Linked DNA regions of Danio rerio. The protein of the gene in region 5 purifies or fractionates together with the protein of the main gene of each other region. This does not show direct contact. Links are inferred from orthologs where the notes say so. Each region holds a gene or a part of one and is shown on either strand. Other genes may lie near its edges. The genes, in order: polr3f, crcp, polr1e, polr3c and si:ch211-140b10.6.

What was found.
Region 1: the proteins of si:ch211-140b10.6 (region 5) and polr3f purify together in Homo sapiens (affinity purification with mass spectrometry; 3 studies listed by BioGRID and IntAct, with this or other methods). This does not show direct contact. The link is inferred for Danio rerio from reciprocal best matches to the Homo sapiens genes POLR1D and POLR3F.
Region 2: the proteins of si:ch211-140b10.6 (region 5) and crcp purify together in Homo sapiens (affinity purification with mass spectrometry; 5 studies listed by BioGRID and IntAct, with this or other methods). This does not show direct contact. The link is inferred for Danio rerio from reciprocal best matches to the Homo sapiens genes POLR1D and CRCP.
Region 3: the proteins of si:ch211-140b10.6 (region 5) and polr1e purify together in Homo sapiens (affinity purification with mass spectrometry; 3 studies listed by BioGRID and IntAct, with this or other methods). This does not show direct contact. The link is inferred for Danio rerio from reciprocal best matches to the Homo sapiens genes POLR1D and POLR1E.
Region 4: the proteins of si:ch211-140b10.6 (region 5) and polr3c purify together in Homo sapiens (affinity purification with mass spectrometry; 3 studies listed by BioGRID and IntAct, with this or other methods). This does not show direct contact. The link is inferred for Danio rerio from reciprocal best matches to the Homo sapiens genes POLR1D and POLR3C.

Annotation. Positions count from the first base shown.
Region 1 is NC_133197.1:25,888,531-25,892,734, forward strand, and holds the start of polr3f (DNA-directed RNA polymerase III subunit RPC6), read right to left. Parts: upstream 2,802-4,204; 5' UTR 2,600-2,801; intron 663-2,599; exon of another isoform or gene 534-662; coding exon of another isoform or gene 478-533; intron 1-477. Other genes in the region: dzank1 (double zinc ribbon and ankyrin repeat-containing protein 1), read left to right, coding at 3,117-3,225, 3,579-3,729. UniProt on the Homo sapiens protein: DNA-dependent RNA polymerase catalyzes the transcription of DNA into RNA using the four ribonucleoside triphosphates as substrates.
Region 2 is NC_133196.1:33,901,386-33,904,002, reverse strand, and holds the end of crcp (DNA-directed RNA polymerase III subunit RPC9), read left to right. Parts: intron 1-1,785; coding exon 1,786-1,923; 3' UTR 1,924-2,113; downstream 2,114-2,617. UniProt on the Homo sapiens protein: DNA-dependent RNA polymerase catalyzes the transcription of DNA into RNA using the four ribonucleoside triphosphates as substrates.
Region 3 is NC_133176.1:21,147,709-21,151,907, forward strand, and holds the start of polr1e (DNA-directed RNA polymerase I subunit RPA49), read right to left. Parts: upstream 2,812-4,199; 5' UTR 2,777-2,811; coding exon 2,719-2,776; intron 2,497-2,718; coding exon 2,393-2,496; intron 2,280-2,392; coding exon 2,203-2,279; intron 2,122-2,202; coding exon 2,036-2,121; intron 284-2,035; coding exon 231-283; intron 1-230. UniProt on the Homo sapiens protein: Component of RNA polymerase I (Pol I), a DNA-dependent RNA polymerase which synthesizes ribosomal RNA precursors using the four ribonucleoside triphosphates as substrates.
Region 4 is NC_133191.1:14,620,374-14,623,890, reverse strand, and holds part of polr3c (DNA-directed RNA polymerase III subunit RPC3), read right to left. Parts: intron 3,195-3,517; coding exon 3,093-3,194; intron 3,003-3,092; coding exon 2,953-3,002; intron 2,499-2,952; coding exon 2,349-2,498; intron 1,418-2,348; coding exon 1,301-1,417; intron 350-1,300; coding exon 268-349; 3' UTR 230-267; exon of another isoform or gene 1-229. UniProt on the Homo sapiens protein: DNA-dependent RNA polymerase catalyzes the transcription of DNA into RNA using the four ribonucleoside triphosphates as substrates.
Region 5 is NC_133199.1:25,556,373-25,560,503, reverse strand, and holds the start of si:ch211-140b10.6 (protein POLR1D-like), read right to left. Parts: upstream 2,817-4,131; 5' UTR 2,730-2,816; coding exon 2,707-2,729; intron 2,414-2,706; coding exon 2,339-2,413; intron 51-2,338; coding exon 1-50.

The DNA.
Region 1 (4,204 bases), on a different chromosome or scaffold from region 5:
AACAAACAAAAACGTATTGTCTTTGTGAAAAGGATGAACATGTAAAGGATGCACTTTTATTTTATCAACAAAAATACTTTAATGCATTTTGCTGACGTAATTCTGAACTAGTACTTCAAGCCAATAAACATATCGCATTAAATAGACATACATAAATGCAATGTATTGTTCTTCATCTAAAATAATACTAATAAAGAGGTTGTTTACAAACTCATACACTATTAAAACTTCGTCATTCAAAACGTACATGAAATGCAACGAAGCTCTCTAAGTTACTAAGAAAGAGATTTTGCTTCATGTTGTCAGACTTTTCGGTATCTAAACATGTACACGTGGCAAAAAAAGACAATACATTTGATGGAAACTTTAATTGCTTTTTTAAATCCATGTAACTTTACACGTTGTCCTACGGTGTTTTGTTAACGTCAACAGGCCGCATGCGCAAGAATAGTGTAACGTTAACTGCGTTCAACTCACCTATTCTCGATATCTACAGGGTCCGTTGACTCTTTTTTGACTTTAACTTCTGTCATTGTGCATCAGACTGGAGTTACTGGAGTATTAGACCTAGTGTCAACAAAACAATACATTCATAGACCCATTTAAAGCTAAGATGAAACGCCGTGTGGTATTGCAGTGTGCGAGAGGCGGGGAGAGTTTACAGGCGACTGGGTTGCCAGACAGCGAAAAATAACCCATCAGACTGCTGTCAAATAGGATCGCAACATCGGTGGCTTGTCTCTTTTTAACGGAGAATTAAGCATTTTGTTTTGTCAAACCCAATTATATTTCGGAGTTAAGACACGACTTTTAGTATTTATAACGGAAGTATTCTACATTCGTTGATAAAACACGGATATGGCAACAGAAACTGAAAGCTTCAAATCTAGACAAAAGATTTACATCGCCACCTACTGTACGGGAGTATATCTGTGACTAAAATATCCTCATGATTTAAAGAGGACCAGTGTTGGAGAAAGTTACTTCAGAAAGTAATGCTTTACAGTATTGAGTTACTCCCCAAAAAAGTAACTAGTTACATTACTTAGTTACTTTTTATGGTAGGTAATGCGTTATGTTACTTTTGCTTTACTTTTTTTGACCTATGTGAGGCTGGCTGATCTCTTGCAGACATTGCAGGTTTTTTTTCTTCTTCTTCATTTTTTAGCTCTACAGTTAACAACACACTGTATAAAATTCTTTTCCTAAAAAAAAAAAAAATCTGAATTCCTAAAAATTATGTAGGATAAAGTTATCTTCGAATCAGTTTCTGAGCCCAGAGCTATACATGGTGCATAATGAATGTTTAAAAGAATGCTTTTCCTACTTTAGTACTTTTTGTCTTGGGAGTAAAATCTATTCAAATGATACTCTTTTGCTTTTCCTCCATGTGTTCAAAGTAATGAGAATATTTCCATCGCAGAAATTTATAGCTCTGCCATCTTCATGTCTGTCTGTTCCTGCGTTCTCTCATCGAGTGTGGCATTCATTTTAATTCAGCAATTTATTTTTTTAAAGCGAATTACTTAAACTAAAAAGTAACTCACATTACACTTTTTAAAAAGTAACTAAAATTTTATTACTTAATTTCTGAAGGTAATGTGTTACTTTATTCGTTACTTAGAAAAGTAATACTATCACGGAACTCACGTTACTTGTAATGCGCATTACCTCCAACACTGTAGAAGACTCCCGTTAAAATATAATTTAGAGTTATAAATAGACCATTTCGATGTGGCAATGTCACTGACCCATGAACATTTCCTGCTCGTTGTTGAACTACTTCATAACTGTAACAAATCAATTTAATCATATATTAACTTTAAAACAGCTGCTATAACATTATTTATCAATTTGTGGTCCTTTTTTATTCTTGGAAGCTATGGAAATTCTAAATGTCATAGAGGAAATACATTAGTGCCATTGTTATTGTTTACATCCCTTGAAATGGTCTATAGTATAATACCCCAGTAAAATACACAAGACTTTTGTGACACACTAATTAATTGTACTTTTGATAATTAATTTAAGCTTTATAAAACGTATATATGCTGTACTTTCAAAATAGAATTACATTGATCTTGTTTTATGCTTTAGGTCACAATGTTTTTAATTTTTTTTACATAAATTATGCTGAATGGCGATTTGGGTGTTCTTTTACAAACATAAAGACATATGATTTAAAAAAAAAACTTTGTTTAAAATATTGCATCAAGTACGCATGTGTTAAAATTTATTTAATGAGAATACACGGGAAATTGTTTCAGGTAAAATAGACAAATAGAGAATTTGTAAAGTAAAATTGATATAAAAATCTGATCCAGTTACTGGTCCCTAGAGATTGAGCTAAAGTTGGTTTTATATTGGCACATTCATTCAGTGACAAGTTGTGACATGTTCCCTATATTGTTTATCATGGTACTTTGAATATTCAGTCACACGGCTTCAAAACAACATTAGCAATATTTATTTGACTGTGAACAATGTTGTGCTTAGATAGTCATTGGCTGCTAATATTTTATATTATAATTTGCAAAAAAAAACTAAAAAAAAGTTAAATTATTGAGGAAAGTCCGAATGTGTGAATCTAAAATTTTACCACAATTCTGTAGAGGGAGCTGGGTCAATCAAAAGCCAACCTTTTAGACCGTTTCAAGAAAATAATAAACGATTTTGAATTTTTCTAATTGTGTTTTCCATGGACGAAAATAATATGAAGTAATGGCTACAGAATTAATGTCAAGAGGAGTGAGTTACCCCTTTAAATTTGACTGTGGGAAATGAGCGCATGCGCACTAATCAGTTGCCATGGGTAACGTGACCCACCAATAGCGCAGCCAGCTGTGTGTTCAGTCTAACATTACAGCGTCTTGTACACACCGTACACATCGTGTGCTTCGAGTGTCATCGAAAAAAACACTCATTTAATATAAATATACGAAATATTTACAATTCAATTGTAAAGTGATTAGAGATACTTCAATCTACAAAAAATAGTCTGTGTAAGCTCTTATTATCCAGTAGCCTAATGCACTAATAATAGTATAACGTTAAGCATTTTATGTCATTCTAATGATATATTTTATTTTCTATATTGCAGGTTAAAGAGCACAAACATGACTGCAGGATCAGTGGCAGCACCTCAAATAATCCCCATCCGCATTCCTCCTCCAGGTAAAGCCAAGCATGAGATAGACTCCAGCACTCCTGTTGAGATCAAGTCAGGTGAGTCAGTTTAGCTCTAAAGATACAGTTCACCCCAAAATGAAAAAGCTCTCAACCTCCACTTATTCTAAGTTTTATGAATAACTTTCTTCTGTTGAACGCAAAAGAAGATATTTTGAAAAATGTTGGAAAGCATCAGCAATAGACAATCAAAATATGTTCCTTCTATGGGAGTGAATGGCTGCTGGTTTACAACATTCTTCAGAATGTCTTGTTTCATGTTTAACAGAAGAAAGACATTTATAACATTTTAGAACCGTTTGAGTAAGAGGAAATGACATTTTTGGTTGATCTCTTTAGCACAAGCCTGCGTCTTGTTGATTTTCATGTGTTTTATAATGTATATTTCCCAGAATCCCCTGATGTGAGGGTCCTGTACACGCTGGACGGCAGTAAGCCGGAGCTGACAAAGAGGCCAGGTTTTGCTGACAGCACTCTAAAGTACACTGAACCTGTTCGGTTACCTGTGGGGAAAGTGTATGTGAAAGCCATGGCCGTCTCTATGTAGGTACATTTTATGCTTTGTTTTTTATAATAATGTGTGTGTTGTTTTTAACTACAGGCACTGCTACAAGTGTTGATTTTTATTAAAACTTTGAGATTTTGTTTTGTGCTTTCCCACATCATGAAAGAATTTATATAGCAGTTTATTGTAAATACTATAGTGTTTTTGATTGTAATATAGTATTTACAACACTTTGTTAATGAATGCTACAGCATAGTGAAGTATTAACTATAGTAAACTGTAAATCTGTAATAAATACTGTATTAACTTTTGGTTTTACAACAGCAAACTGTGGAGTATTGTAGTATAATAAACCATTTAGTTGTAGAAAACCTTTATATTTAAGAAACTAGTTTGTTACTACATGTGTTGTAATACCTAAACAATTAATTGAGTTAGCGCAACAGATTAATTTAAACGTACAATAGTATGGTTTGAAAACCTTATTACTTATAATATATAATATTTGAGATC
Region 2 (2,617 bases), on a different chromosome or scaffold from region 5:
TTTCAGATAATTTCACTTGTTTTGAGGAAAAACTAATAATTTTCACCTAATTTTTCTAAAGGTGAAAACAAATACATTTTTCACTTGATCTAAGATTTTTTAGATATTTGGACTAGAAACGAAACAAAGCAAAGGAAGAAAAAAAAAAAAGATTATTCATTTTTTTGTACTTAAATATCATCTTGTGAAACTGTACTCAAATCACAATATGTATCATAGAAAAATAAAACATTGCAATATCTTATATATAAATATTTTTCTGATATCATGATGCAGCCCTGAAACCTACTGTGGAAAACCTTCAAAACTACATCAGAACCCTTTAAAATAGTGTGAATTAAGGCTTTTTAATCCATTTAATAGGAAAGTGACCATGACTGATGTTTATAATTGAACTGAATGTTTCTATTTCAAATGTTTGCATGCATTTTATATCTATTATATTTTAACAAACAAATCAACAGCACAAGTGATTATCAAGATGTGTTAAAGGGCCATGAAACCCCCCTCTTTCGGTTCATGTCTACCACCGAATTTTTTCATAAAATGCTTTGTGATGGGCGTGGAGCGCTGCGAGCAGAGGGAGGGATGGTGTGGCCGGCATAGAAGGGAAGAAAGAGGCGAGCGAACAGCTGTCAGTTGGCTCACAAAATGAGATGCACACCATGAGGAGGCGCATGATTTATAGTTTTATATTTTCCCATAGGATAAGAAAACTCAGCTACGAATAAAAATAAGAAACCGACGTGTCATCACTCCACTAGCAGATTCACGCTACGTCGCTGATTTTGATCCCGCCCCAAAAATGATTTTAAACCCAGAAGATAAAATTAGCTGACAAAAGCTTCAAATTATCCAGTTTTCCCCTCAGTTAAAGCTAACAGGTGCTAACGTTGTCTTAACTGATGGTCAACTTACACAAATCTGTTTCATCTGATCTGTTACACAAATCAAATTTCAGAACAGAACACAGTTATGGTATTTTTGATTTGATGAAAGCAGTGTTGATGAGCAAAAGATACTTTTTCTTTAGAAAAGTACAGGACAAAAAATGGTCATGCAAATGGCATAGTAAAAATAGTCTCTACAAACTAGTCTGACAATTATATTAACCAACTAAGAAACTGAAGATGTAAATTTGAAGAAAAACAGGATTTATTAATTACTGCTCAAAGCCTGTGGTACATTTATAAAAATATATATATATATATATATATATTAATAGTATTGATGAATAAACAAATAAAAAAAAAAACACTTACTGAGTCTTATGGAGTGTGAGAGTCTGAAGGGACAAAGATGGATTTCTGAACAGCCAACAAAAACTGGATGTTATTTGTATGACATCTCTATGAACTTAACTTAGGCAAGGCAAGTTTATTTATATAGCACATTTCATACACAGTGGCAATTCAAAGTGCTTTACATAAACAGGAATAAAAGATAATAAAGACTGATAATAAAAATGATTAAAAACAGATGAAAACAGACCAAATGTGTTAAAACAAGTTATAAATGTGTTATAAAACAATGAAAAATAAGAGAAAAACATATTAGTGCGATCTGACGGACCTAGCACAGTGCTCATTTAGTAAAGGCACAGCTAAACAGATGTGTTTTCAGTCTTGATTTGAACGTGCCTAATGTTGGAGCACATCTGATCATTTCTGGAAGCTGATTCCAGCAGCGAGAGGTGGAGTATCTGAAAGCCGTTTCACCCTGCTTTGAATGAACTCTTGGAATTTCTTGTTTATATGATCCTAAAGATCTTTTTTCAACTTACAGATGGTAGAGGAAAGTGAAGAAAGGCTGACAGAAGAACAGATCGATGAACTTATACAGAAAGTCACGGACATCCTGCCCGGTGACCCACAGACAGAAGCCAATGAATCTGCTGATCCTCAAATGGAGACCAACCAATAGCATTACCCCCAGAAACTCACAGTTTAATTTTTTTTTTTTAGTTTTTCATCCTTAAACGCCCAAGAGACTGACTTTAGATGGGTTGACAGTGATAATACTTACGTTTACTGTTGATCTTTATTATGTCAATGAAAACATTAGCCATTGCTACATCTAAAATAATAAAAATCCATATTTATTTAACCATAAATATCATGTTATTTTGTCAGCATTGTTTCCCATGCACAATTGTCGAAGCTGCATTGATCTTTGTTTGAGTAAGGATATGATCTTCTGGGCTCAAGACAGTCTCAGTTCCTCTGCGACATCCTTCCTGTATTGCTACTCTTTATTTCAGCTCATAAATGTTACAATCACTGACCATTTTGATTTGTGAGAAATTGCTCAAAAGCAAACCCATACCGTTTGTATGTCCATTAAGTTCAAATGTGAAACTGTGAATCAACAGTTTTTGACTTTAAAACTCTAGTATACTTGTTACAACCAAGTTAACCAGGATTTTTATCAACAAGTTGCTTAAAGGATTGTTTCACTTATAGAATGAAAAATGTCCTGGTAATGTACTCACTCTTTTGTCTTCCAAGATGTTGAATAAAAGTAAGGTACTTGGGGAGACATGCATGACTTGTACGGTGCTCCGTGTTATGAATTTCCAAACTGATATTTCAGTACAGCTTGAAAGGACTCTAAATTA
Region 3 (4,199 bases), on a different chromosome or scaffold from region 5:
TCAAATATTATTTACTGTCATCATGGCAAAGATAAAAAAAAATCAGTTATTAAAATTATTGTTTAGAAATGTGCTAAAAAAAACTTCTCTCCGTCAAACAGAAATTGGGGAGAAAATAAACAGGGGGCTAATAATTAGGGTGGGCTAATAATTCTGACTTCAACGGTATATACAGTTTAATATAGTAATATGTTCAATACATTTAGACATTCACCTGATGAGCTACTTACCTTATCTCTGAATGTTGAGGGTTGATTTTCGCTTTCAGCTTCTGTTGCTTCACCTGAAGACACAGAATTAACAATGCACATCCTGTTCAGTGACAAACAATTAAACTAAATAAAACCATAACTCACTTTCCTGGCTCCAAGGCTGTGTTAACATGGCGAGGCTTAGTGCACAAATCTGATTTTTTTCTCAGATCTGATTTATTTTTTTTGGCATAGCTGTTTACATTGTTGTTATTAATGTGGCCAATATCAGATTTGCAGTGTGAACAGATCTGCATGCGCAAAAGTACATTACGGACAGCACAAAATGTCTAATTTTGCACGAAATGTATGAAGTAAGCAAATTGTCAGATCATGCTTACATGATTATTGCCCTTTTCATATTTCATAAAATTTAAAGGATTGTTCTGCTACTACGAACGCGTATTACGGCATTTCAGACCTAAAATAAGTCACTTGTGATTTGAAAACACTGATCATTTGTGATCTATGACAACCGCGGTGCGTGTCTTTCTGACCACCGCTGTGGTAAACTCATCAAGGGTTAATGAGCAGTCGCAAACTGAACTGTGAAGGTGGAGTTGGTCTCTGTTTGCAGAGTTATTTTATTTTACTTCCTTATAAACAGCAGGCACGTGCTGAAGGGGGATTCGGGTGCTCGAGCACCTGCCCTTTTTTCTATTGGAAAGAAATTTCCCCCTTAAAATGAAAGTGCCCCCTCCTTAGTGTACGCATCGTTAACAAAACCAGTTTTGCCTTCAAAATCTTTTTTAAAATGAACAACCAATTTCTGTGGTAAAGTAATTGTCCTGTTCGTCATTCTACAATGCTGCTGAGGAATAGATGATGTTTGCAGCACAGATAATGATGCATTTCGCATTTGATAGTGGCACAAATCTGAACTATAAAGATGAGATTCCATGCAGTTTGGTCATTACTTGAGCCACATGTAAGCAAAAAAATCTGATCTGGGCCACATTTGGCTGCAGTGTGAACATAGCCCAAAACATTACTGTTGAATTGGAAAAGAAAATAGTGGAGCATTATATAGTATAAAGTGTGTTTTTCAGAGTACCCCCTCCATATATCTGCTATGGGTTTTATATATATATATATATATATATATATATATATATATATATATATATATATATATATATATATATACCATTTCAATATGATATCACTGGCCAATGAACATGTCCTGTCAAACTATTTCATAACTGTAACAAGAGGCATTTCAATGAAATCCCATCTTAACGTTAAAAACAGCTGTCATAACATTATCAATAGGTGGACCTTTTAGAAACTATGGAAACAAAAAATGTAAAACAGGAAATACATTTAAACCATAGTTATTGTTTACATCTCTCAAAAAAGTCTATACTGCATGTCTGTGAATATACTGGCAGCAGCAAGTCACAGAACTTGTTCCGCCATAGCAATCAAAGCAGCAGCTGCGTAGCAGATCTATGCCGCCAAGACCAAATACATCAACAATGCCAAATACATATATATTACCATACTAAACCTCTCAGAGCGCTGTCATGACAAAAATATTTGAATAGTATAAATATTCATGTTCACTATAAATGATAACCATTAACGATTATTACACAATATAATAATGTATGAGATATTATACTAACAGCACTCAGTAACATGGTAATACAAATAATATTACTAACGTTACAGACTTAGAGGCATGCAAACAATTTCACCCCCAAAAACGAGTAAAAGTTCCTTTGAACTCTAAGAACCCTAAACATTTATGTCCATAATATTTCAGATGTAAAACTGTTTACCTGGTATGACGGGCAGCATATTGAACAGCTGAGCACTATGAACTTTCATTTGCATAGTCTGCTTGTCAAGAACTCCCACAAAATACCTGTTGACAACATTTACACACCATTATTGAGAGGTTATTTAAGTGTTGCTCAGCAAATAAATAACAACGTGATGACCTCACTTGCACATATTATTAGACTGCAGCGATCCAGACCCAAAATTGCTCCCTACATAGGGAAGCCTATCTGAATCTGCAACCTGCATAGAAAAGATAAAGTTAGTTCCTAAAAGCACAAACAACACAATTGCTTCAATTTAGACTTTTTAAAGTTATAAAACAAACGCAGTTTCAGTAGGTATAAGTGTTTTACCACTATTCGTCTGTTTTTCTTTCTGGGATTTGATGCATTTGAGTGTTTGAAGACAGTAAAGTCCAGCTCCTCGGCATTTTTCACATTTCCATTAGAGAACTTAACTGTAATGACAAGAATAATGCTTTAAAATACAATGCGTGACAGTTTTAAAAACTATACTGTTAGACTGAGTGTACATTGTTTATTATTTGGTCGAGATGACCATATCCACGTGGGTGCGTTAAATACATAGAGGAAGAATAAGATTAGTTTATTACAGCTAACAAATAACAGCAATTATATATTATGTTACATTTATGATACTCTGGGTATTAAAACATTACCAATAAAAGTATTCTGTTCCGTTTCTTCACATGTTTTCCACGAACAGGTCGCCGCCATTATTACGGTTTCCTCGGCTGATATTAGCACGCGTTCCTGCACGAACAGCGACACCAATCGGTTTAAACAGTTTAAACAGAAACTTCCATTCAATTGTTCTGATATGATATTAATTGAATTTGCACAACTATTTTTAAAATTGAATAAATATGGATTAAAAGCCTTTCAAAATGTATTGTAAAAGCTTTTGAAAGTAGTCTATTTTGTTCTCCAAGGCTGAATTTGGTCTAAAATGCAAAATAAATGACAAAATAAATAAATAAAGGCCTAAACTGATGTTTAAACTGAAATAAATAAAAATAAAGTGAAGGAAATTTATTTTAAACTGATGATGGCAAATAAGTATTCTTAATTCTACAAGCTTTTTATATTGAATTTCATGTTAGGACTGAGCAATAAAACTATAATATTCATACACTAGTTTAGATTATGTCCAGAATAAGGTTTATGCTTGTAGACATGACTAAGTAATGCTGATTATTTACACCACACAGACAGTTTGTGCCCAACAGCACAAGTTTCTATGATTTATTTTACAATCAGATCAGACAGCACTGACATTCAATTTTATTAATGCAATGTCTGAGGCTCCTTCACCATGTTTTGCAGAGGGATCCTAAAAATAATCAACTCTGGTGTTTCTCAAATTTCTCTGAAACTACAGTTTCAACATAAAGATTTTAACATTTTATTGTAACTGCACTGTAAAACCCAATCATTTTGATAAACCCAATAAACCCAAAAAACTCTTTTGTGGCAAACCATTAAAGTTTTTAAACAAAATGTTGAGAGTACATTTTCTATTCGACTCAGTCCCTTTTTTAATCTGAGGTCAACACAGCAGAATGAACCGCCAACTTATCCAGCATATGTTTTACGCAGCAGATCCCCTTCCCGCTGCAACCCATCTCTAGGTCTCTCTCATACACTATGGACAATTTAGCCTACCCAATTCACCTGTACCGCATGTCTTAGGACTGTGGGGAAAACCACACGAACACAGGGAGAACATGCAAACTCCACACAGAAACGCCAACTAACCCAGCTGAGGCTCGAACCAGTACCCTTCTTGCTGTGAGGCGACAGCACTACCTACTGCGCCACTGCATCACGTCCGACAAATAAATATAGTTTATTTAAACCAAGACAAATCTATTTTCTAGCGTTTTGGAAAAGAAAAGAAGGCAGGAAATACACATGACAGCTTTGTAACATAATATTCATGAGGCACGCTTCCGTGACCGCCTACTAAATCTAACTCTGACCCAATCACGCAATACTAAAGTAAGATTGACATGTGACGTAATTAATATTCATGAGTGAAGCATTTCTTCTACCAGGATTGGTAACGTTAGTATCGCCACCCGGAAGTTCAATTTCGAAATGTTTCTTAGAGCATTTTCACGAAAAATTTGATTTTTGG
Region 4 (3,517 bases), on a different chromosome or scaffold from region 5:
CCACTTTTTTATTTTTTCCACATGAGAAAAAAAAAGGATGCTAAAATTGCATTTGCAGCCACACACACACACACACACACACACACACACACACACACACACACACACACACAAACACAAACACAAACACACACACACACACATGCACACACGCACACAAAATGTGATTAAATACAAATCGGTCACTCTTTGTTCCAAAGGAAATAAACATCTCCATTTGACAATTTACCTTTATCCATCTATTTCACATCCTAAACTAGTCTACAGTCAGCGAGAGGCCTGTGTGGAGTTAATGTAGGATTCCAGAAGAAAAATGGTCTCATCCACCTGGTTTTCGCTGGAATCCAACCTGCCACCATGAGCACAAAGAGAAGAGATTTGATTAATGATTGACTGAATATAAACCACATGATTCGACACAATGTGTACTAACGCCCTGGCTGTATCCAAAATCACAAACTATACCCTTAATCTATTTGAGGGAGCAGTAATTTGTAAATGTGTCTACAGTGGACATTCTGAAGTGTGCTAAAATCAATCCCATAATGCAACTCGATAAAGCGCGAACAATCGGACGGATAATGAATTCCCGAATCTGACCACAAGATGGAATCCACAGTGTAATTCTGTCAGTGTAAGTTTCTAAATAATTCAATATTTAAAGGTGCTCTCTGTACGATTTTGACTCTTCAAATGCATAAAAATACCATAATATGTTTGCAGATACTTAAGAAACATGCTAAGCGAACAGATCTTGTTTATCTGAAAAACAATGCTGAAGTCAGATATTCTACTTTGAAAATGTCTGTTACATGCTGGAACGCTGTCTTTGTTTTGGTTCTTTTAACCCACCCAGTGCCACTTTAGCCAATTATATTTCAGCAGCCCGAGTTGCCTTGTTGGAAAACTGCGTATTTTATTCATTCGCTATTCAGAAAGGCTTTGAAAACATTCATCCGTGACCAAACTGCAACCTCTGGTGGACAGTAGTAGACTCTGAAATGAGATGCCGATTGAGAGTTGCACATGAGGTTATCAATTAGCAGATCATTTAAATATTATGAATGTAATCATTAGGTGAGCAGAGGTAACATTGTAACCGTGTGTCCTAACAACACACTGTGTGAAAAGATTTGCCGTGATGAGCAATTAGGCTGTTTGCACCAGATGAAACACAACAGAAATTTAAATACAGCCATTCAGAAATACAGAATGTGCACTCAGTCACGAAACGGTAAGGTTTAAAAACTATTTAATACATGTTAAACCTCTTTAGGGCAGCAGTGTGTAGCACAATTACCTCACAGCAAGAAGGTCGCTGGTTTGAGCCCTGGGTGGTTCAACTGCCATTTCTGTGAGGAGTTTGCATGTTCTGGTGGGTTTGCTCCGGTTTACCCCACATGTCCGAAGACATGCGCTATAGGTGAATTGGAAACATTATTTCTTGCACATGACCACGCTAAACAAAATTGTTGGCATCCAAAGACTTGTAGACCTTTAACTTCTCTCTTGTAAAAACACTTAGAGCTTCAATGAGATTGTATTTTTCGATGCTTGGCCATTTCGTCTTATCCAATAATCATTGGGAGAGTGCTATCGCAAATAGACCTGTCAGACGAATGGCGCTCACCTTAATGTAAATTTAGCAGAATAACTGTGTTTATCACTTAGTGACGAGCTGTTATAATACGCTAAAAGCATTATGTAAATAATATATATAATATGTAATCAATATAACTTATTTCTAAGACAACAACGAACTCTGTACTACATCAGATGTCATTCCCTCGCTGTAAATGGTAGTGCTCCCGGTTTTTTAGCCATTGCGCGCATCTTGAATGTTTACAAACATGATAAATGTCTATTGAACAGTCTATTTTAGTTCCTCAAAATAGCTACGCGCCAACAATGCGCCTTAACACACCTCTTTTCTAGACTGAAACATCCATAAGTCCACAAAGTGCCTCAAATGGATTTGCTATTTAAACAACGGGGCGGAAAACGGGAAAATTAATGTTGCGTTGGTCTGAAAATAGCAACACGTCGTGGAAACCCATCTTGTGCCTTGTTACACCGAGTGTACGATAGGGCCCAAAGTGGTAAAGATCTGATTTGTTTGAAATCAGGGGATCGTCCTTTAACACTGACATTTATATTAAATGAACTGAATCAGTTTTTAACTAACTAGCACATATCTAGCATTCTACCACTGTACTGCTACCTGGCTGAAATGCTGAATATGTCCCACAAATTAAAATATTGTTATCAGATTTTTTAATTTGATCACCTATTGTCTTTCTACAATATATAAAATGCTACAGAAAGGAAGGGGACTTGGTTTGCAGTACTTGTTTATATGGTGTCGCAGGGACTCGAGCTGCTGTCTCTCAGGAGCTGTGATCATCTCCTCCACCTCGGTCAGCTGTGTCGCCTCCGCACCGGTCGCCTGCAAGGATGCTAGGATGGCCTCAATCCGCTGAGATTTCTCCAAAAGCCGCCTGTCAAAATAATAATAAACAAAACATTAATGACAAAATCAAAAACTTCCACAGTAGATTAAAGGGTTAGTTCACTCAAAACGAACATTATCTTAACCTCAAGTAATTTCAAAGCTTTCTTTTTATTCTTGAACACAAAAGAAAATATTTTCAAGAAAGCTCAAAACCGGAAACCACTGACTTCCATTCATAGTATTTGTTTTCCCTACTATGGAAGTCAATGGTTACTGGTTTTGAGCTTTCTACAAATGTCTTTGTTTGTGTTCAAGAGTAAAAAGGTTTCAAATTACTTATAGGTTTCCAACATTTTTCTAAATATCTTTGTTTGTTTTCAACAGAGGTAAGAAACCCATGAAGGTTAAAAACATGTAAAGGATGAGTAAATGATCATTATAGCTTCTCGAGTGATCTATCCCTTTAAATGTTTTAATGTTGAAAAGGAGAAGAGACTTGCTTGTTCTCTTTGGTCTCATACAGCCGCCGCTCAATCAAGTTCCCAACTGTCTGTAAAGAGGTTCACACACAGATATCAAATCAAAAAATACACTCATTAATTAAACAAATGCTTTAAAGCTGTTCGTGCGAGCTACGTACCTTGTAGCAGTGTTGCAGAAGTAGTCTTGCGGTGGGCAGCTGATTAACTGTGTACAGGTAGAAGGTTCGAGAGGGTGCGTGATCAGGTGTTTTGGGGATTTCCTTTACATATAATACAAAAGGAGTGAAAAGAAGTCTTGATAAGGGCCAGACAGAATCTGCAGACATGTTTTTACTATTTCTGCTAAGAATTTTTAAAACATCTGCGGATTCATGCGGAATGATTTCAGGATTATCGTAACTAAAAACACAAGAAATAAAAGTAAATAAAATAAAACCTTTTAAACTTTTATTTAATGTTTACAAAGCAAATCCATCTAGATTCACTTGTTTGGTAAACAAAGCAAGTCCCTCATTAAATAGATCTGCTAAAAGAGAATAAATATGATTTTAAAAACTGTACTGTAAATAAATCAAACGAACAC
Region 5 (4,131 bases):
GAGTGTTGAGGAGAAAGCGCTTGTTTGTGCTTCCCAGTGGACATTTCATCCTAAAACAAAACGGCAATTTAAGCAGCTTTAGGAGACATATATAGTAGTTAATTACACACATACATACATACATACATACATACATACATTCCATAGATATATACACTATCGCATATGGTTCCTGAGCATGCGTCAATTGCGCCGCCACATTTGTACAGTGCTCCCAGGACATCATTCAACTGCACTAATCAAGACTAAAGCCAATGTGAAGATGCTGGACTTTAGCACTGCTTACGGGTGTAGTAACAAGCAAACAAAGAAAACCAAGCACAAAGGCAGAACATTTCATAGGTAAGATTTCGTTTTTTATGTTTTTGTATGTTACAAACTGGCACTCAATTCTAGACTTATGCTAGTTTTGTTGAATAAAATGAGATAACAATGTAAATGAAATATAACAAGAAGGTGCTGCTGTGAAAACTTGTATTATTGTCAACTAAGTGATCAAGTCCTTCTTAACAGAGATTCATTCACAAACGAATCCCTCCCTCCGTTGGAATGAAAAGTGAAAGCAGGAGAGGGGGTGTGTTTAAGGACATGAATTAGATCAAATTAAACAGGGAGGGTAGATAATACATTTCCATGCACACAATCACACACTCTTTGCCAGGAATGCCCATGCAATCATTTATCCATCAATATAGAAAAGTGATGTAAACTTATAATTTTTGTAATTTCATAAAATATTTGCATACTGACCAATGGAAAACCCCCCGATCGTAAATAAATGTGTATATGTGTATATATGGATGGCCAGTCCTCCGCTGCACCTTGAACCCACATTCATTTTAAAGAAGCGCTACCCTGTACTAAAATGGCGACTCTATCGACAAATTCCTTTCAATAGATGAAAAAAGCGTAGGCAACATCTAATGTAAATGTCTATACATACATACATACTGTACATACATCTTTTGATTTGGAGGACGATAACCAACATTTTAAACATAAATCGCGTAACCTTCACAGAGCAAATTAGCATGCAACTTGACTGTTGCATAAAAATAATAGGTTAAATGACAGAACTGTATTTAATTAACAAACAAGTTAAATACATATATTTTAATAAAATGAAAAGGAAAATGAAAGAACTAAGGACTGAAGCCAGCTCAAATGTTCTACAATTATTAGTCATTTGACACTTTTGTTACCGCACTCCCACAAGATTCTCCCGTAAAAACACCAGTAAAAACGATTACACCCAATTAAAAATAAATATTTCTTCTAGCCATTTTCCAATGAATACAGCCAATCATCTTTGGTTTATTTAAACAGAACAGTTATATGGTTCAGTCATTTAACACCTTCGAGGATAGAAAATAATACACTTACAATCAAACAAGTTTTTGCAAAAAAAAAAAAAAAAAAGTATTTTTCCCGTTTATTAATATATTATTTAATATTTTCCCCCAGTATATTAATTAAGGTGTACTGATTTTTGCACTGTGATCTTAAATAGTTTTTTTTAATTATAAGCTTGTCATAATATCTATTTTTTCTTGTATGATATATTGCACCAACATATATTATGATGAACAATATTGTCATTTTGAGACCATTTTATGCCACTTATTATATAATGCCAAAATGACAATATAATAACATCAAAATGCAAGTACACTCTTCTAAAGACCACATAATATTTTATTCTTAAGGATGTTTCATTTAATTTATAGTCATTTTAACTTTAATAATGAGGCAGGGGAATCAGCATGTGAAAACACATATCCTGAATAAATAGTAGTAAAAAGTGCAATGTAAAAAGTAACAGAGGCTGCAAGATCTGCTACCAGATCTATTTTCAGTTGTCAGACACCTGCATGAAAATATACTACAGTAACATAAAGAGGTTGCACCATCAGCTAAAATGTTGCTAGAATTGACTTTTATATATGGGCAATATATATTACATCACCAAAAATGATAGATGTCATGTCAATGTGTTGTGCGATAAGTCGATATATTGATTATTGTGAAAAGCATATTTGATTAGTCACAGTTTTGGCTTTTGTACCTTAAAATCTAAAGAGTTTGTGCAAAATGCATTACTGTAAAGCATTTTATACTACATATTAATTTAAAATACAGATCTTTAAGGGGTGTACTCAGTACTGTATATATACATACACAGGTTTAAGTTCACATCCGAAAACCAAAGTTACACCCTTGTGTGTGTGCGCGTGTGTGTAAAAGAGTGGGGGCAATAGTGGTTACTAATAATAGAAAAAGACTTCAAATTGGTCACTTTAAATATCTGTAATTTATCAATTTAGTGATCCAAACTTACCATCCAGCAGGACCCATTGTCTCGACACGGGCTTTTGCTCTGTTCGCTTCTTTAAGGAGCTCCTCCACTGCTTTTCTGGGGAAATTATTTACAGTGAGACATTTGACGACAGAAACGGGTTAATTTATGTATTACCGTGACCCCAAATTAAATAGCACGTTTAAATCTCTGACGGTGCAAAATAGACTTTTCTAGGATACCGAAATGTTTGCTATATAACAAAAGTATGGTGCTTCGTCTCAGGTTTTGGTTTACACAAATTTACTGACCAATTTGCACGAAGCCGAGGGCGTTAGCATATTCTGCATCGTAAACTAGTCCAATAAACTGGTCAAAAGGGGGAAAATTGACATTTAGAAATATCATACCTTTCCAGTTCACTGTCTTCCATGATCTAATTAACCTTAAACCGCAGTCACTGTTAATTTATAGCTTGTTCCAGCTTGCTAACCAGTAACGTTAGTGTTTACTATTCTCGAGGACCCAATTTAGGACCCCGGTCCGCTTGACCATCTTAGTTTTGACTAAATTTGCGGAAGTGAGCAGACAGTAAAATTCAAACTAAAAATGTAGAAACTATCTGCACTTGGAACAAAAAGTACGTACATTTAAACAGTCTATTTTAGTTTATTATTTGACTTAATAATAGGTTTTACGATCGCACTTTAATCAGGCATCTCGATGGTCACAACTGATATTCGACTAACAGCGCCGTCTGCAGCCTGTCAAACGAACGGTAGTGAAAAAATCAGAGTCATTTCATCAAATGGTTCATTTGAACAGCAGCTCTGAATGGAACAGTTCAACATGTTCCGACGGTTCTTTACGTCATTACATGATCCCAAAGCGCATTACATGACATAATATCTTTACAGTCTTTTTATTTATTTAACTTATGTAATTTATATTTTAGTTTATTTTATGTTATAGGTTACATTTGTAGTTTTGGATGTCATGTTTAAATTGTATATTTGCTGCTGTTTAATAATAATAAAAAAATAATAAATAAAATAATAAATAAATCAATTAATCTCTTTTTATCTTATCTAAATACATGAATGTTGACAATACTTGCACACTTATCACATCTTTTCTATAACTGTGATGTCTCTTACATTTTAGTATGATGTTAGTGACGTGTTATTTGGGCAAATACATGTTAAAAGATTGTATTTGCTCTTTACACACACACACACGCACGCACGCACGCACGCACGCACACACACACACACACACACACACACACACTCATTAGAGTATGTTGGTATGTTGTTAATTTTTACATGCTACAAGGTTAATATTTTATTCATAAACAGAAGTTTGCGAAGTGTATACCAAAATGCTATTAATTTTTATTAGAAATGGAAACTTTGAAAAAGTTTCTAATGCAAATTAATAACAAAAAAATGACTTGATGTTAGATTTCATGAAGTTTTTTTTTCTGGTACTGATCCCTCACTGTAGTCTGATTGTGTGCCAATCTTTTTTTTTTATTACTAGTTATATTTAATTTAATATTTTTACTTGTTATGTTTTTGTTTTAATATTATTTCTGGATGTGGCTTTTTGCACTTATTGTAATGGTCTTGGATATAGTTTGTGTCTGAATTTTTATTAATACATAGTGTTATGTTTTAATGCTTATAATTAAAAAAAACTTGATCAAATATCTTAATTCTAAGTCACTTGTGAGCAATAATTACTATTTAATTAATGTTTTTTTTCTTTAGATATTTATTTAAATTAAATGTATTTAAATATAAGTTTAGATTCACTAAAAACAGAAATGCATT